Drosophila melanogaster: one gene and its partners. The gene in region 1 interacts genetically with each later gene. Each region holds a gene or a part of one and is shown in the gene's direction. Other genes may lie near its edges.

The links.
Region 2: of ftz-f1 (region 1) and Idh3b, changing one suppresses a phenotype caused by changing the other (phenotypic suppression), as found in Drosophila melanogaster (one study listed by BioGRID).
Region 3: of ftz-f1 (region 1) and br, changing one suppresses a phenotype caused by changing the other (phenotypic suppression), as found in Drosophila melanogaster (one study listed by BioGRID).

What each region holds. Positions count from the first base shown.
Region 1 is NT_037436.4:18,798,033-18,803,630, reverse strand, and holds the start of ftz-f1 (ftz transcription factor 1), read left to right. Parts: upstream 1-2,321; 5' UTR 2,322-3,523; intron 3,524-4,775; 5' UTR 4,776-4,899; coding exon 4,900-5,598. Other genes in the region: CG14073 (uncharacterized protein), read left to right, coding at 1-568, 634-849. UniProt on the Drosophila melanogaster protein: Acts as a cofactor to fushi tarazu (ftz). Facilitates the binding of ftz to DNA. Binds the sequence element 5'-YCYYGGYCR-3' in the zebra element of ftz. Probably functions as a nuclear receptor for a yet unknown ligand.
Region 2 is NT_033777.3:22,015,420-22,021,340, reverse strand, and holds Idh3b (isocitrate dehydrogenase 3b), read left to right. Parts: upstream 1-2,156; 5' UTR 2,157-2,307; coding exon 2,308-2,349; intron 2,350-2,513; coding exon 2,514-2,561; intron 2,562-2,624; coding exon 2,625-2,717; intron 2,718-3,244; coding exon 3,245-3,361; intron 3,362-3,418; coding exon 3,419-4,000; intron 4,001-4,122; coding exon 4,123-4,353; 3' UTR 4,354-4,950; downstream 4,951-5,921. Other genes in the region: mitofilin, read left to right, coding at 1-516, 619-639, 733-891, 949-1,237, 1,304-1,481; Theg (testicular haploid expressed gene), read right to left, coding at 5,252-5,514, 5,581-5,800, 5,862-5,921.
Region 3 is NC_004354.4:1,610,194-1,615,811, forward strand, and holds the start of br (broad), read left to right. Parts: upstream 1-2,147; 5' UTR 2,148-2,610; intron 2,611-3,463; exon of another isoform or gene 3,464-3,752; intron 3,753-5,618.

The sequences.
Region 1 (5,598 bases):
GAGGATGAGCAGCAACAGTGACAGGACCAGCAACTTGAATGGTCTGTTAGCGGAAAAAAAGGAGGAGCAGAAGCCCGAGGATTTGGACCAGGATCGGGTGACAACAACGATCAAGCAGAACGGGGAGACGAGTGCAACAAAGACTGGATCGGCGACTACGACGACGGCAACAACGATGGTTAAATTGGAACTGGGAACCGACGAGGATAGCAATAACAATAAGAACAACGAGGAGCTGAATGCTAATGTGGAAAATAATTTAGTAACAAGCGTTGTGAATGTCAAGAATGAAGTGAAGAAGGAAGTGGAAGCTGAAGCTGAAACAGAAGCGGAAACGGAAACGAATGCGAAAGCAAATACGAATAGTAGCACTAGGCTAGACGAGGATCAGACGGACATCGAGACAATGGATAGTGAATTGAATGGTGATATTTTTGAATTTGAAGAGGCCGATGTGCCCTTGCCACCACTGTACTTGCTCAAAGACGAGGGCAGTGATAAATGGGTACTACTCAATGATTTGTGCAATTTACTTAAAGTTAAATCGAAGGATACGTTGCTTAACAAGGTATGTGCCATTTAGATGCGATATTTAAATGAACTTATAACAAAATCTTGTTATTTTTTTTTTAGCTCTGTCCGAACAACAGCAATGCCTTGGCCAGCAGTCAGAAGCACCTGCTACGGGAGTTCAAGATAGATGATTTCCTGGAGAAAGCCACCTGCCTGCAGCTGTTGTGCGCCGGTGAAAAGCTGAACATGTTCAGTTCGTCGAAGGTTGTGCTCATCAAATACAACGACAGTGTACGGAACTTGTTGGGCGTTAAGACCATTTTAATGAAATTTTAACCGAGATATCTTTAGCGATTGGACGGGGCAAGATCCAGAAAGATATAAATTAGATAATGATGAATGGATGAGCATAGTACTAACTGAACATAGAGTGTAAAGTGCAAACAAATATGGAAAAACTATTAGTACGAATATAATAGTAGATTTATATACTATACATATGTATATTTTAGCTAGTAACTAGTTTTTACTCACACGTCTTTGTCTTTGGAAGATAAAGGATTTTATAAAGGAAATTAAATTTAGAGCTAATGCAAAGTGATACAAAGGTGCTATACACACTCAAAACGAAGAAAAAGGAAATGAATGGAAATTTTAGAGCGAGAATATTGAGAAAATCTGGAATCTTTAGGGATTGGCTGCAATTATGCAATAAAAGTAGAAGAAAACAATGCAAGGCAGTTAGAAACGAGGAAACGAACGGAAAATGTATGCCAGCCAATCAGCTAATAAATTGATATATACTTACAGATAAATCTAGGGATGAAGTGTAATCTATGGTTTTTAAAAAAACAAAACAATCTAGCTAAAGTATAAACTAAATAATAATTATTGTAATAATATTAAAGAAGCAACAAAGGCGTATTTATGTATTATGTATTTTTAAATGAAATTATTAACATAATATATAAAGTATATGTATACACAATATGATCCAACTACAATGTAAATCAATTTTCAGATAGGTTTGTAATTTTCTATGTAATGTACGTGTGTAAGTTTTGTGCAACTATAAAAGGAAACCACAAAAAACTGAAGAAATTTAACAAAAAAAAAAAAACTAATAATGAAAAACAAAATAAATGCAAAGTGAAATTTTGACAATTTAAAAGTGCGGTTTCACTTCAAAATTTTAACAATCTCCTGGCATTTGAAAACAAATATCGATCCAAGCTTTTATTAAACGATTCTTCAAAATTGGTTTAAAAGGTTATTTATATATAATAATAGATGACTGAACAGGTAAGGTCTTAGATAAGTACTTAAATATACTTAGAGGGCCCATTCTTTTGAAAAAGTATAATTATATCTTGTGAATATTTAAATTCGTCTTCTTCTTTTCCTTTTAAATTTGCAATTATTTGAACTAGATAATCTCATTGTATTTTTTATTGCTTATTAAAATTTATGTAATATTTCATTGACAAACCGCCACAGTTTTGAATTTACGATCTATCGATAACTTGGCGATAGGTTCCGGCAGATGTCGCTCTCAAAAGCTCGCCGCACGAGCGGTGCGCTAAACGCGGGTGTGCGTGCATGTGAGTGCTTTCAGCTGAAAGCTTTCCGGTTTTCATATGATTGCCGTCCTTGTTCTTCAAACGATTTTTAAAGGCCAAGAATGCTGCCTCTCTGTCCTTGGCCCCGCTCTTCGCTCCGGTGATCCAACACTATCCCGACCGCGCATGTGTGTGTGCGTGTATGCGCGAGGGCTTTCGGTCTTCTTCTACCTACGCCAACAAACTTTTACTGTGTGTTGTGTTCCCGTTCGAGTTCGACCTAATTTCGCTCGAGACCTAATTTTTGCGTGCGGAATAGTTTTTCCCGAAAAAGTGAAGCCAGCGAATAAACAATAGCTGAAAGTGAGCGATAGCCAAGAAAGTAAGAGTGAAAGTAAACAAAAGCGAAAAGAAGAACAGCTCTGGCGTTAATTATGTGTGTGTACATACGTATATATTTAATATTTCCGATGCGTCCATAACGGGAGTGTGTTCTGGTTTCCAATCGTCGCCCGCGCCCCCGTCATTGCCTATCCGTTTACCAAACCCCAATTTTGGTGTGCAATTGTGTATAAAAATTAACACAAAGTGGGAAGATAGCGTTGTGTCATAGAATTGGAGCAGAAGCAAAAACAAGGCAAAATTAGCAAAAGCCAAGCGGAAAAACAACAACACAGAGTGCCCAGTGGAACCCCAGTACATGTGTGTATATATGTATGTGCGGTGCGAGCGTGTCAGTGTGTGCGTAGCAGGAATTGCAATTTATAGTTGTTGTTTCTGAGAGCTTTCGCTTGTTGCGCGCGTGCGACGATTGTGCAAGAAGTTCTTGGTGTGCGTTCGAAATCGGGAAGAGGAAATCGCCGAGAATAGAGGAAGAGTAAATGGCAATAAATGCAAAATAAATAAAAGAAATAAATAAAAAAAAATATAAATAAATTGCCAAATGCGTTTGGCGTCGCGTGTGTGTGCGTGTTCTGAAATATGCTGAAAGAGCTTTCGGAGAGCGAGAGCAAAAGAGAACGAGACGCCGAGAGATGCGATCGGGAGAAATAGCAACAACAACAACAACGGCAACAGCGACTACGATCGGCGAAATGAATCACACACAAGCTTTGTTTTGCGAATTATAAATTCGCGTTCCGTTCTCCACACATGCGAATTCCCACACTGAGAGCGAGACAGAGACAGCGAGAGAGAGGGAGACCAGCTACGGCTACAAAAACAGAAACAGCAAGAAGACCAAGACATAATAATAGAACTTTTGCTTTCGCTTCCAACTGGTTTTTGTATACATAAAAAGCGAGAGGGGAAGAGACGGAGAAAGAGAGAGACGGACAGCTTCCAGCGCTTCTTCTTCTTCCGCGATCTTCGTCTTGGAATTCATGGAACCGGGCGCATGCGCAACACACAGAACTACAAAAGGAAAAACAACGACGTCAGCTGCATGAAAGGTAAATTCTCAATTCTCCCCGCTGCACGACTTCCTCTCGCTCACCTTTTACCCCCCAAAAACCTCCTTTTCCATTTTGTCTAGTTGGGTGAGCTTTATTTTACTGCACTTACCATCTTTAATGGGAAGTAGGAGCACGGAATGAAATACAGTTTTGACACGAATTTGATTTAAAAACCATCATTATAAGAAAACTTTTTAAATAAAATCACCTTTTTGTTTGTTTAAATAAATTTTACTGGGATCATTATATATATATTTTTTACAAAAATTAATGTGGTTTTAAAAATTTGGATAATAAACTGAAAATTGTATCAGCAGTTTATAGCTTTTTATAGTTTTTTTTTATACATTTTCTCGTATTTTCCACTAAGATATTTTTCTTTTAAAATATTAAATATAAAGTTAATGTCATTTGCTCAATTTTTTTCCGTGGATTACCCGAGGGTTGGTGAGATTCAAGCACGAAAAGTGAAGAACTTGAAGTCGAGTGAAGTTAATTAAAGTATCGTTAAAAAGGGTAACACAGGGCTTAAAAAAATGGGGGAATCTTTCCAGTTGTCTGTTTCGCGAACTGGAAAATTACTGTAAATGGGGGAATAAACAATTTAGCGTGTTAATTTTTAAATGGATTTTATCTACTCGGAAAAAATAATTTGGTTAAAGATGCTTTTAATGCATTAACTTTTTTTTTTTTTATTAATTTTTGTAATCTTGTAAAACAATTGCATTTTTAAAAAAACTTTATTTTTCAATTTTTAAATTAAAGATTCTCGACGTCTATTTTGAAATTTAATTTTTAAACATCGGTTTATTGGTGAAATTGCATTGATACTGATAAAAATAGTTTAGGCACTCCTAAGCTCTACGGAGGTATATATTGTGGACTTTCGACGATTTAGTTAAAAACCCTAAACAATAATTAAATAGTAGAATTATAAAAAAACTGAAATATAACATAATAAATTGGGTGGACATTGAAGTGGTACAGAAAAAGCTTTGAAAGCTTTCTCTCCCCACAAAGAGTTGACCTTGGCCTGCTTCAAATACCATTAGGCCTTTCCTTGGCCCACATTCTCTGCGACCTGACCTTCAACCTGACCTTGCATTAACCTAGGCCTTTGAAATCCTTGTCCTACTTCCTGAAAATTAATATTTATTACTAGAACGGATTGATTTTTGGTTTAGACGGCTTTAAAAACGCTTAGAATTTTTTTTTGATTACTAATAATCTGCTTTATTACCATTTTCAGGTCTTTAAAGCAATTATAAACTTACAACTACTATCGTTACCTGCCATTAAGAATCAACAAAACAAATACCACACATCACAACGAAACGTACAAAAAATAAAAGTTAAATTATATTATTCATAAAATGGATACCTTCAATGTACCTATGCTGGCGGAGAGCAGCAACACCAACTATGCAACAGAAGCTACCAGCAATCATCACCACCTGCAACATCAGCATCAGCAGCAACATTCACATCAGCAGCAGCAGCAGCAGCAACTCCTAATGCCCCATCATCACAAGGATCAAATGCTGGCGGCGGGCAGTTCGCCCATGCTGCCATTCTATTCACACTTGCAGTTGCAACAGAAGGATGCAACTGCAACAATAGGACCTGCAGCAGCAGCAGCAGCAGTTGAGGCGGCAACAACATCGGCAAATGCCGATAACTTCAGTTCATTGCAAACGATCGATGCCAGTCAACTGGATGGAGGCATCTCCTTGAGCGGCTTGTGCGATCGTTTCTTTGTGGCCAGTCCAAATCCCCACAGCAATAGCAACATGACACTAATGGGCACTGCCACAGCTGCAACAACTACCACTACCAACAACAACAATAATAACAACACTAACAATAACAATAACAACAACGTGGAGGCTAAGACAGTGAGGCCATCGAACGGCAATTCGGTGATCATCGAATCTGTGACGATGCCATCGTTTGCCAATATTCTATTTCCCACCCATCGCAGCGCCAACGAGTGCATTGATCCCGCCCTGTTGCAAAAGAATCCCCAAAATCCAAATGGCAACAACAGTAGCATAATTGTGCCGCCCGTCGAA
Region 2 (5,921 bases), on another chromosome or scaffold:
GAAACTACTTCATTGACGAGATCGAGTCTATCTTCCCCGGCCTCAGTTTGGCGGATAAGAAACTTAATCTGTCAAAGGAGGACCTAGACTTGTTCATCCTGCACGCCTACACCCATGTCCTGGCCTACCAGAAGGAGCTGCAGCGCTTGCAAACCGATGGTGAGCTGCGCCTGAAGAGAGCTATTGACTCGGTTCGCGGTGACAACGATTCGGAGGCTTTGCGCGCCCAACTGGAATACCATTTGGAGGCCGAGCGGCGCAAACTGGCCGTGGAAAATCAAAAGAAAATCTTCCACATCCACGCCGAGTCTGATAAGCTGCTGCGCTTGCAGCTCAAAAAGCAAGCAGAGGCCCACGCCGATCATATAAAGGACATCGTGGCGCAGCGGGAGACCGATCTGACGCGAAGCTTTAAGCGTGAACTTGAGGATAAGCTGGCGACCGAAAAGGCCAACTATAAGTTACAATTGGCCGGGATGCTCGGCAAGCTGCGCGGAATGGACGCGGCTCTGGCAGGTAAGTTATACGTTTTAAACGATATCGGTTGAATGTAGCTAGTGTAGCGTGGCTAGATATATAATGGTTTTCAAACCTTTTCAAAACATGCTGCTATATTAGAGATAGAGGATGAGTTTCAAGGTATATTCACCCTATATGAAGGGTAGTACTTATACCAACTTATTCTTGGTTTAATCAAAATGTTTATTGACATTATATGCAACATTTTTGCAGAGCGTGCGGATGCAGAGCGTACTGCCAATCAGGCGCAGGCCCTTTGGGCCGCCTGCCAAGCTCTGTGGGCCTCCGTGCGCGCTGCCACTCCTGGCGTGCACTATAAGGATAGGTTGCGCCCGTTAAAGAACGAGATCAATGCCATTGCCAAGGTGGCTAGTAAGTTGAAACGTTTCCCACATTTCGATTTCAGTTGCTAAATGCATATGCTTACAGAGGGTGACGACCTGGTGGCCGCTGTGCTGGAAAGCGTCCCGAAGGAGGCTCAGGAGCGCGGTGTCTATCCAGAAGATGCATTGCGCGAGCGTTTCCTGAATGTGGAGCGCGTGGCGCGACGATTGGCTTTGGTGCCCGAGGAAGGAGCCGGCCTGCCCATCTACTTCCTGTCCTATCTGCAATCGCTGTTCATCTTGCGACCCGATAATCCCATATCCAAGGACGAACTCGAGAACAAACCCTTCGACTATAGCAAACTGGACACCTACGATATCCTAAACAGGGCCAGGTGAGGCGATTGATTCATCTATCACTAGAGTTATATAATATATATTATATATATTATGTTTCACAGGTACCATGTGGATCGCAGCGACTTTCTGCAGGCGCTCAAGTACATGAATCTGCTGCAGGGTGCATCGCGCAAGATTGCCGGCGAGTGGATGAAGGAGGCTCGCCTCATGCTGGAGACTCAGCAGGCGGCCAACACCTTGATGGCTCACGCCGCTGCCAGCGGACTATTGTATTTGTAGACTACGTCCCGTGTCCCCTTCCTTCAGAAACAAGATGATACACTTACTATTTGTTATTAGTCCAGGAGAAGATGGTACGATTACCAACAATATGTAATTTGTCCAATTAGCGATCACAGTTGAAACGAAATAGCACTTATATACATATATTTGTAACATTTTGTTTAGCTTCAATTATACAAATTAAACATAGAAACCATCATTATAAAATCCAAAACATAAATACTCTGGGAAGATTTGTAAAAAATTCGATACCAAGGCATGAATGGAATATGATATATTACTAAAGCTGAAATTGGCAAGCTTTGTGTTTCTGAAGAACAATGTGATTAGGCCATAAATAAACATAAAGAACATCCACTTGTTGTTTAATTTAGCGAAAAAAATTAATATAATAAATAAGTTGACTAAAAAGTATGCTGAATGTCAAAATTCAAATAAAATGCATTGGCTAAATTTAATTTCTCTGTTCTGAAAAGAAAGCATGGTAGGCAAGGCAAATGTATTCAAAAACAGGTTACTATGCGGTTGCCGCCAAATTTATTCCTTAAATAATCGTATATGTTCGTTACTAATTTTCGAACGCCAAAATCGCGATAGTTGGTCGTTAGCCAGCACTGGACGCGCCAGTTTCGTGGGCGGCTATCGCCAGCCCTGGTAGTCAGAGGCAATCAGCTGGTTTGCGTGGTCGATTTGGTCCTATTGAAATTTTTCGGTTTGGCACCGGAGCAAAAATCACATCGCAATCAAAAATTTCGCGTGGCCAAAGGACACACTTTTGAGTTTGGATCAACAGCCGGGAAGATCTAGCTAACCGAATAGCAAAATGTCGATGCTGGCGAGAACAGTTGGACGGACGTTCATGCAGGTAAACGGCCATCCAAACCGCAGCTCTTACATAAACACTTGCTCGCGACGCGCTGTGCGAATATTTCTGCGCTGAGGCCTAGTTCTTATACGTTTCTTTTTTTTTTTTTTGAGGTTATAATCCTAGCCAGCCTTAACGATTACATTGCATTCTTCTCGTTTTAGGCTGCGGCAGCACGTAGTCTGCACACCACGTCGACGCTACGGGCTACGGTGAGTGTTAAATGCGCTTATTAAGTGGCACCAGTTGTAACCGGAAAATAATTGGTCTTGCAGGATAACTACGGCGCCAACAGGACCACCTGCACACTGATTCCCGGCGACGGTGTGGGTCCCGAGCTGGTCTACTCCCTCCAGGAGGTCTTCAAGGTAGCTAACCATCCATCAAGTTGCAATCATTCACATACAGTATTCCAATGCGTCCTAATTCTTATAAATCTATACTCTTGCGTCTCTTGATCTCTCTTAAAAAAAAGGTTATTTAAGCTTAGGATCATTGCCAGCTTGGTTTCCTATTTAATAGAAAAGCTTTTTTTAAGCAAGTCGGCGTTTAGTTAGTTATGTACATATTTCTAGAATCTATTAGATTTAAAAAGCACAGGGCTCTAAAAATTAATTAATATATTTCACTCTTCACAGAGCGCATTGTATTTGATAACACTTCCATTTTTCCCGATCACGAGTGTTTTTATTATATAAATCAAAACATCAAACTTATCTGTATCGTAAAGATATGTGATAAGTGGCTGCTACTTGAAAATTTTAGTAGATTTCGGGATTTCCGTTTTAACTGAACATACATGTTCATACGTGCGACTAAATTAAAAAATGCTATGTAAATTCTTTAACTTTTCAAGCCCAATCAATATGCATAATTATCTTATCTTGTCGTTCAGGCAGCCAGCGTTCCCGTGGACTTCGAGTGCTACTTCCTTTCCGAAATCAATCCCGTGCTTAGTGCCAAACTGGAGGATGTGGTGGCATCCATTCAGAAAAACAAAGTGTGCATTAAGGTAAGTTTGCAAGAAAATAAAATAGTGTGATAAAATCTAAACAATGTGCTCCTTCAGGGCGTTTTGGCCACACCCGACTACAGCAATGTGGGTGACCTGCAGACCCTTAACATGAAGCTTCGCAACGACCTGGACCTCTACGCCAATGTGGTGCATGTGCGCAGCTTGCCCGGTGTCAAGACCCGCCACACCAACATCGACACGGTGATTATTCGCGAGCAGACGGAGGGCGAGTATTCGGCGTTGGAGCACGAGTCGGTGCCCGGCATTGTGGAGTGCCTGAAGATTATCACCGCCAAAAAGTCCATGCGCATTGCCAAGTTCGCCTTCGACTATGCGACGAAGAATCAGCGCAAGAAGGTCACCGCCGTGCACAAGGCGAATATCATGAAGTTGGGCGACGGTCTCTTCCTACGCTCCTGCGAAGAGGTTTCCCGGCTCTATCCGCGCATCCAGTTTGAGAAGATGATCGTGGACAACACGACCATGCAGATGGTTTCCAATCCCAACCAGTTCGACGTGATGGTCACCCCCAATCTCTATGGTGCCATTGTGGACAATCTGGCCAGTGGTCTCGTGGGCGGTGCTGGTGTCGTTGCTGGTGCCTCCTACTCCTCGGAATCCGTCGTCTTTGAGCCGGTAAGATTCGCCATAAAGACATAAAGATAATCCATAAGATCGTGATTTACACGGTTCTCGAGCCTAGCTGTGCGAATCCACTTCAGACTATTCTTATCTCTAATACCGATTTCCGATTGCAGGGTGCACGTCACACCTTCGCCGAGGCCGTGGGCAAGAACGTGGCTAATCCCACTGCCATGCTGCTCTGCGGCGTGAAGCTGTTGCGCCACATCAACCTGCCCACCTACGGCGAGATCATCCAGAATGCCATCAACAAGGTGCTGAACGATGGCAAGGTGCGTACTAAGGATCTGGGCGGACAATCGACCACGCAGGACTTTACCCGCGCCATCATCCTGAACATGTCCTAGATGGGCACCACTGTCATCGCCGGCATCGCGATCAGCAAGTCTACAACATCATGGGCAACAACGTTGGCGCTTATATAATCGACATTAGACAGTTTCTGTTGTTGCCACAGCTAAATTTTGAATTGTTGAAAGAAACACCTTGAAAGTTCTTAGTTATCCTATTACGTCCAATTTTTTTTATTTGTCCCGATGTCTTCAGTGCATTCATTTGAGTATTATTTCCGGCGAATATTTAAGTTTAGTCCAATTGAAACGCCTGCAGACCCGCCCCGAATCCAAAAGTTGCGAATTCTTTAGTTTTACCAATTGGCAGTAATACATCGATCCTTGATTATGTTGTAATTATTTACGTATTATTTCCCCCCCCCCCCCTTTTTGATTTCGCAAAGATGCTAATTTACGGTCGAATTATATTTTATGTTTAACCCGTTGAAAAGCAAAACAAAAAAAAAAACCGAAAACAAATGATATTGCTAAACCAATTAACTGATAACGGATGGCTTTGAGTGGACCCACTCCACTGGAGCTGTGAGAAAGATAACAATAAACTCAAATCTAAATTAATTATTATTTAAAAGCCATTGTCAGTTCCGAGCTGTCTAAATTTTAAGTAATACAAACAAAAGATAAAAAAAAAAACCCAAACATATTTCTCAAACTTTTTTTTGACTGGAATGAAAGGCCAAAGGAGATTTCATCGCTATTCCCAACTCCGGCGCCACTTTCACAGGAAATCCAATCCCGTAAAGAGCCGGAAAAGCTCTAGTTGTTTTTTAAAAAACCAAAAACAAATTTATTAGAAAAGTCGATACCAAATGTAGCCGAAATGAAAAACTTAGAACACCAATAAGGACGGTAATGATTATCCAGACGCACAGTCCACGTCCGTCTCCAATTATTATCCACCCTTGGGCTTGGCCAACTCGATGAGGCGTGGCGAGGCTTTGGCCTTCAGAGCCGCCGGCGATATGGCAAACGGATTCTCCCGGATATGCGTGTTCTCGAACTCCTTGGGCTCCGCCAGCTCCTTGATCCGCGTGCTCGCCTTGTATTTGAGCGCGTTTGGCGCGATACCGAATGGATTCTCCTTGACATCCGCCAGTCCTTGGTTGGCATCGCGCGTGGTAAGTGGCTCGGACATCTCCTTGATGCGGGCACTCGCTAAGTGAAGCAATGCCAGGTGCTGCATTATTAAAAGATCAACTAAATTGGAGTATGTGTACTTACGCTTGTAGCGAAGGGCATTGGGCGAGACCTTCTCCGGATTCTCGTTGATGTGGACATTATCGCGCACGACGGGCTGCGATATTTGCTTGATCCGCTTGGTCGCCTTGTAGTCCTTCATCTGGGAGGTCAGCTCCCACTTGGGTTTGATCTCCTCCAAATAGGCCTTGGGACTGGCCAGCTGATTGAGACGCACGGGATCGAACTCCCCAGCTCCACGATCCTAAATGAAATGGGGGATTATCATCAGTTTTTAGCTGAATTTAGTTTTTTTTTTAACTTACCGGTTTCGGGACCTTTGGTGCTTTCTTTGGTTTCGCCAACTTTTCGATGTACTTCTCGTG
Region 3 (5,618 bases), on another chromosome or scaffold:
TATATCGCTGGCGGTTCCGTCGTTGACCTCCTCGCGTATTACGTATACGCCCGATATGCAGGCGAAGAGAGATCGACGTCGGCGGATGGAGATGGCCAGTGCGTGAGCGGGAGCGAGTGACTGCGGGTGACTAACCCACTGCAGTTTCAATTAGAACAAACGACATCGACAAGTTCAATGTGATCATTTCGCCTTCGCAGTCGCTGTTTTCTGCCTTCTGCCTTCGACGTCGGCGTCTACGCCGTCAGGTTGTTGTCGAGGTTGTTGGCTGCCTGCGACTCCGTTTGCGCCGCCTAGAGGTTAATGCCGGTTGTAATTGCAAAGCACCCAACCCGAAACCGGAGACCCAACAAAGGAGCGGAGCTTAGAGCGACTACAGTGGTCCCTGCCCGCGCGACTCGCCTCTTTCTGGCTAATCTGTGACTCGGTGACATTTGCGATGATCTTGAAACAACCATAAACCGAACGAGACGCAGCAATAAAGGCATTATGGGTACGTAGGTAATGTTGTGTATATGGTACGTGTAGATACATTTATACGTTTATGAATCGGCAAGAGGTCACTGCAGACAGGGAAACCTTAACAAAACAACACTCAAGACAATTCTTGAAAAATGCTAACGTGAGTGCGAGACCAGCAGAATTAAAAAACCAAAATCGCCACGCATGAATCTAAAAAATAAAAAAACCAAAAACAGCTCATAAAAATATCGGCGACAACAACAAGGGGATGCAGCAGTAAAATAAAAACGCTGCAAAAACAATTAAATTCGGACAAAAAAAAAAACTGGCAAACAAGATGCAAGTGGCAACAAGTTTCTCAGACTCAGTCGCTCAGTTTCTCCTCAGGGCCAGCAAATCTTCGCTCTGCAGTCTTCGGTCTTAAGTCTTTGTGCGTGCCAGGAGGTGGGGCGGGGGAGCAGGGAAATGGGAATCTGGGTTATGGCAAACAGGGGAGCCATGTAATAAAATGCGGTAATGGTAATGGTAATGGTAACCAAAATATTAAACAACTCTTCACCAACATCAGCAGAAAATGCAATTCCAAAGGGTGACGCAAGGGAGGGAAGGCAGGGGAAGGCCCTAAAAACAGGCCGACTTTGGATTTGGGTTTGCGTTTGGGATGGGGCTCGAAATGTGGGCTACACTTTCAATTGGAACCCTCTGTGGGGGTATGGTGGGAAGGGGGTACAGGCGGGTCGTGAAATCGGGCAATTCCGAGCCGAAGACGCACGACGATATTCTGCCTAAAAAAAAAAACGCTCCGATCGCCGCCGACTTTGTGTGCGTATGTACCGCTTTCTGTATCTTTGGAGTTACATAGGGGGAAAGTTGCATATTCCCCTACCCGTTCCCATTCCCCTTACCCCTCTCGCTCCATATCACTCTATTTACAATTTGCCGCTGCCGATCTGCGGATCTGCCCCAAACATTCGCGTTTGTAATTGCATCGGTGTGTGGGCGGCGCTCGTTGATTCGTTCGCTCGCCGACGACTTTGCATTTCATTTCCCCCAATTTTGTCGGCCTGACAATGAATAAACAAAACTTCTAAATGGGCAATACCAGAAAACACAACAGAATATACGGACAGCAGAAAAAAAAATAATAAAAAAACCACAACCACACACATGGAACCCCCGAAAAAAACGCAATTTTCGCTTGCTCGGCTTCGCCGCCGTCGCATGCGCAGAAAATTTGCTCGTTTTTTTGGCGACTGCGCTGCAGGCAGCGCTGTAAACTGCAGCGATCGGATCGAGTTGATCGCAGAACGCAGATCGCAGATCGCAGATCGCACTGCTGCCGCTGCCGCCGCCGTCGACGTCGCTGCACTCCAAAAAAGCGAAGGAAACACACAATCGCACACGAGAAGTATATAACAAAAAAGCGAGCAAATAAGGCAAAAAGTAAAAAGTAAAAAGCAAGAAGCGAAAAAAGCGAATGAAACATACAGGCGGCATAAGTATATACACACACACACATATATATCACAAACACTGGTGCACAGCGAATTCTCTGATTCAATTGGGCAGACGCACACACTCGCGCACACACCAATACACACGCACACTGGCAGAGGGCAGCGGCACAAGCCCAACACATTTAACTGCATTTTTTCGGAACTCAGTTGAGCTTTTTAATTCGATCGGTTCAGTTACTAAAGTTAGTTCAGCCTAAACGCACAATTTCAATTTCCATTTCTAAGTTTGAGCCCGAATTGAATAGCATTAGTGCCCACCCCACGCCTACCCTCGCACCACCGCACCAACGCACCACAGCAGTATCCAACACACACACGAGGACTGGACAATTCCCTCTGTTCTATTTTTTTGTGTTTTTTGTCAAGTGCACCCAAGCAAAGACCAAAGGACGCAAACCATCTAGTGCGCGATTCGCGCGCGTTTTGAATCAAAAGAATCTAAGAATCCAAGAATAGCTAAATCACTGAATCGCAGAATCAGGAGCGGAAAAAGCGAAAGCCAACCCCAAAAACCCAAAGCCCCAAAAGTTCAAGTGAATAATCAGTGTGCATCCCCAAGTAGTCGACCCAATGAAGCGCCGCCATGAGCAAGGATGCACCTACTGAGCGCAACTACAACCGCACCATCCAGGTAAGGGTTTCCTACATCCCATCCGACCCCATCCGCTTTGCTTTGTAGGGCAAACCGAACGTGCTGGAAGCTCCTTGATCTAGGGGCAGAGGGAGCCTAGCATCCAGATCTATATCGACATACACACACACACACATCCATATTCTCACACACGGTTGCAGGTACAGATACACACTGAAATTTGATTCGGATTCGTGGCCCGATCCATAAGAAGGACATTTGAGTCATCCGATGCAGCTGCCTGCTCTCTCCCTCTCTGCCTTTGGGCTCGGCTCTCCTCATTAGCACTTTGATGAAGAGTCACAAAAGCGGACGGACCGGGCCTAGACCCCTCCCTTCGAACTGTCCAAAAATTTCGGTGCATCTGCATACAAAGGCACACAAAGACGCACAGAGTGTACGGATACAGATACAGATACAGATGCAGCTACATATACATATACAGATACAGACACATATACTGTTACAGATACAGATGCACTGCAGGAAGCAGGGCAGCACAGTAGCCTCAGTCGCCTCTTTCAGCCCCGTTTCAGCTTCTCCACCCCTGGACTCTGCGCTGCATTGTTCCACTTCTACACTTCCACACTTCCCCACTTCCCCACTTCCCCACTTGTCCGCTACCCGCCACTCCTCGCTTTTTCGGCTGCAGTCTGTCAGTCAGACTGAGGCTTCGTGAAGCTCACGGCCAAGGCGAAGGCAGCTGAGGATCTGCACTCGGCCGAACACGAAGGCCGGTTGGGCAGGGTTCGGGAACGATCGAAAGCCAGCCCGAAACGGCGGAACTGCAGTTTGCTGTTCAGCGTCGCACTGAGCAAACGTCGTGTGGCAGCTCATCGCCAATTGCGAATTGCAAACTGCAAACTGAGTACCGTAAATCGCTCGCGCAAAGTGCAAGTCGCGCTGAATTCGCAAGTTCACATAATATCGGCATCCGCATATCCGCATATCTGTATATCTGCACATCCGCAAGCAGCTTGCTTCCACGCCAATTTTGTTTTCGTTGCGTTTATATTTTTTTTTCTGTTGATGTTTCTCGTTATATACATAGTATCCTTTTAGCAACCCACTCAGGCTTTTGCTGATTCTATTTCGATCGCAATCGGTCTCAGGAATCAATCTCAGGATTAGCTCTACGGCAGGTAAGTCACGTGAGGAGCGGTGGTGTTTCTGAAACTTTTGCTTTCAATGGGTTTGCTTCTGGAACTGGGCCAACAGCGAGACTCAAATGGCCAGACAGGCACGCAGTCAAGCGGTTTGGTGACAGGGTCCCCACTACTCCTGCTGCTTCTCCTGCTCCACCCACCGATCTGTAGGAAAGGTGGTAACGCCAGCTTCTTCTTTTTGTTCTCCCAGTTGTTAGGGCGACCCAGACCCAGACCGAGACCCAGACGAGTCACTCAAACGACAACAACACTCCGCCGTCCCCATTTCTATCCCCATCCACAACCATCATCAGCCATTCCCATTCCCCATCTGCAAGCCACAAAGACCGGCACCCATACACTCGCACACTGGCGCACTCACACGGACATGGGCACAGGCACAGTCACAGCAAGGTGACGTAATGGCAACTACTCCACTAACACATTTTTCTGCATTCCTGCAACGCGAGGAAGAGGAGGAAAAGAAGCGGTGGGGGCGGGGTGGGAAAGTCGCGCGACGAGAGAAAAACTGAATGAAAATTGCAGGCAGCCAACGAAGCGTGCCTAGCAAAAAGGAAGAGCGAAAAAAGCATAAAACGACAGAAACTAGAGACGCAGCCAGACTACGCCACAGCCAGAGCCACAGTCAGAGCCAGGAGGGGCTGGGGGTGTGGGGAACACACGTGGGACGTGCTGTGAAGCTCGGGATGCGAATGTGGTGGCTGGTGGCTGTCGGATAGCTGGATGCTAGGAAAACAGAGGCGGCGGAGACAGAGGAGACGGAGGAGATGGAGATGGAGGAGACTCGCCAAAGTGGTGGCCCCGACTAGACGCTGTCTGCGTACTGTGTCTGTGCCTGTGCCTGTGTCAGTGTCTGTGTATTAGGATGTCTGCGTGTGCGTGCTAGCCATCTGTGTGCGACTGGCCGACATTCAAGGTTGTCGGCGCATAACTTGTTGTTGCCGCACTGCAATTGTTGCTGCCACAGATTGTAAATGCTGCAAATGCAGTGCGGCAAGGGCACAAGTGCCCACTCCAGTGCCAGCTTGAGTTCCAGGAAGCTTATGAGTGGAGCAACAGTAAAAGGACATCCGAACCGGGGTAACGGCCTGGGCGACCCACTTGGGGCTAGTGGTAATCAGAGGCTCAGAGACAGAAGCGGGCAGTTAGAGAAACTGCACAACAGACTAGCAACCAGTAGCACTTCCGTTAGCCTTGAAGCCCAATCAACTGGAATCAACTGGAAACTGCGGCCAATTGAGAGCCGCATCGCCACAAGTGGACAAAGCACGCAGACGAGCAGCAGCAGCTCCCCAGAGTTTCAGTTGCCAGCTCTCCACTCACACTCACATGACTCATGTTCTAGCAACGGAGCACTTGTTTGGGTGCAACAGCAGCCACAAATGCATCCGTCGCAGTAACAAATAGGGATCACGATGATGATCATGATGAGCACGATCAGCGTAATGATCGTGTCATTCAAGGCCGCCGCAAATTGCGAGCGGTGAGTCGAGGAGTTGCAAAATAAACACAGAAAACATCAGACACAAACGCGAATGCGAAGAGCCAACAGACGAGGACAGGGACATACAAAGTGCATAGTTATCGCTATAGACATATAGACACATGGACATACATATAGGCGAGTTCCCAAGTTCTCGGAAACGGTTACTCCAAGGCCAAAAGCCGGATAGACAAACAAATGGGACAGGCACAAAGGCTAGGAGATAACTCTTCTCCAGTTTTCCCCTTTTGCCTCTGCCTCTGTCTCTGTCACCCTCGCGTTCTTCGTTCTCCGTTCTCGATTCTCCGCGCTCAATTCTCAATTCTCCTTTCTTCTGCGACCTGCCTCTGCTTCATTCG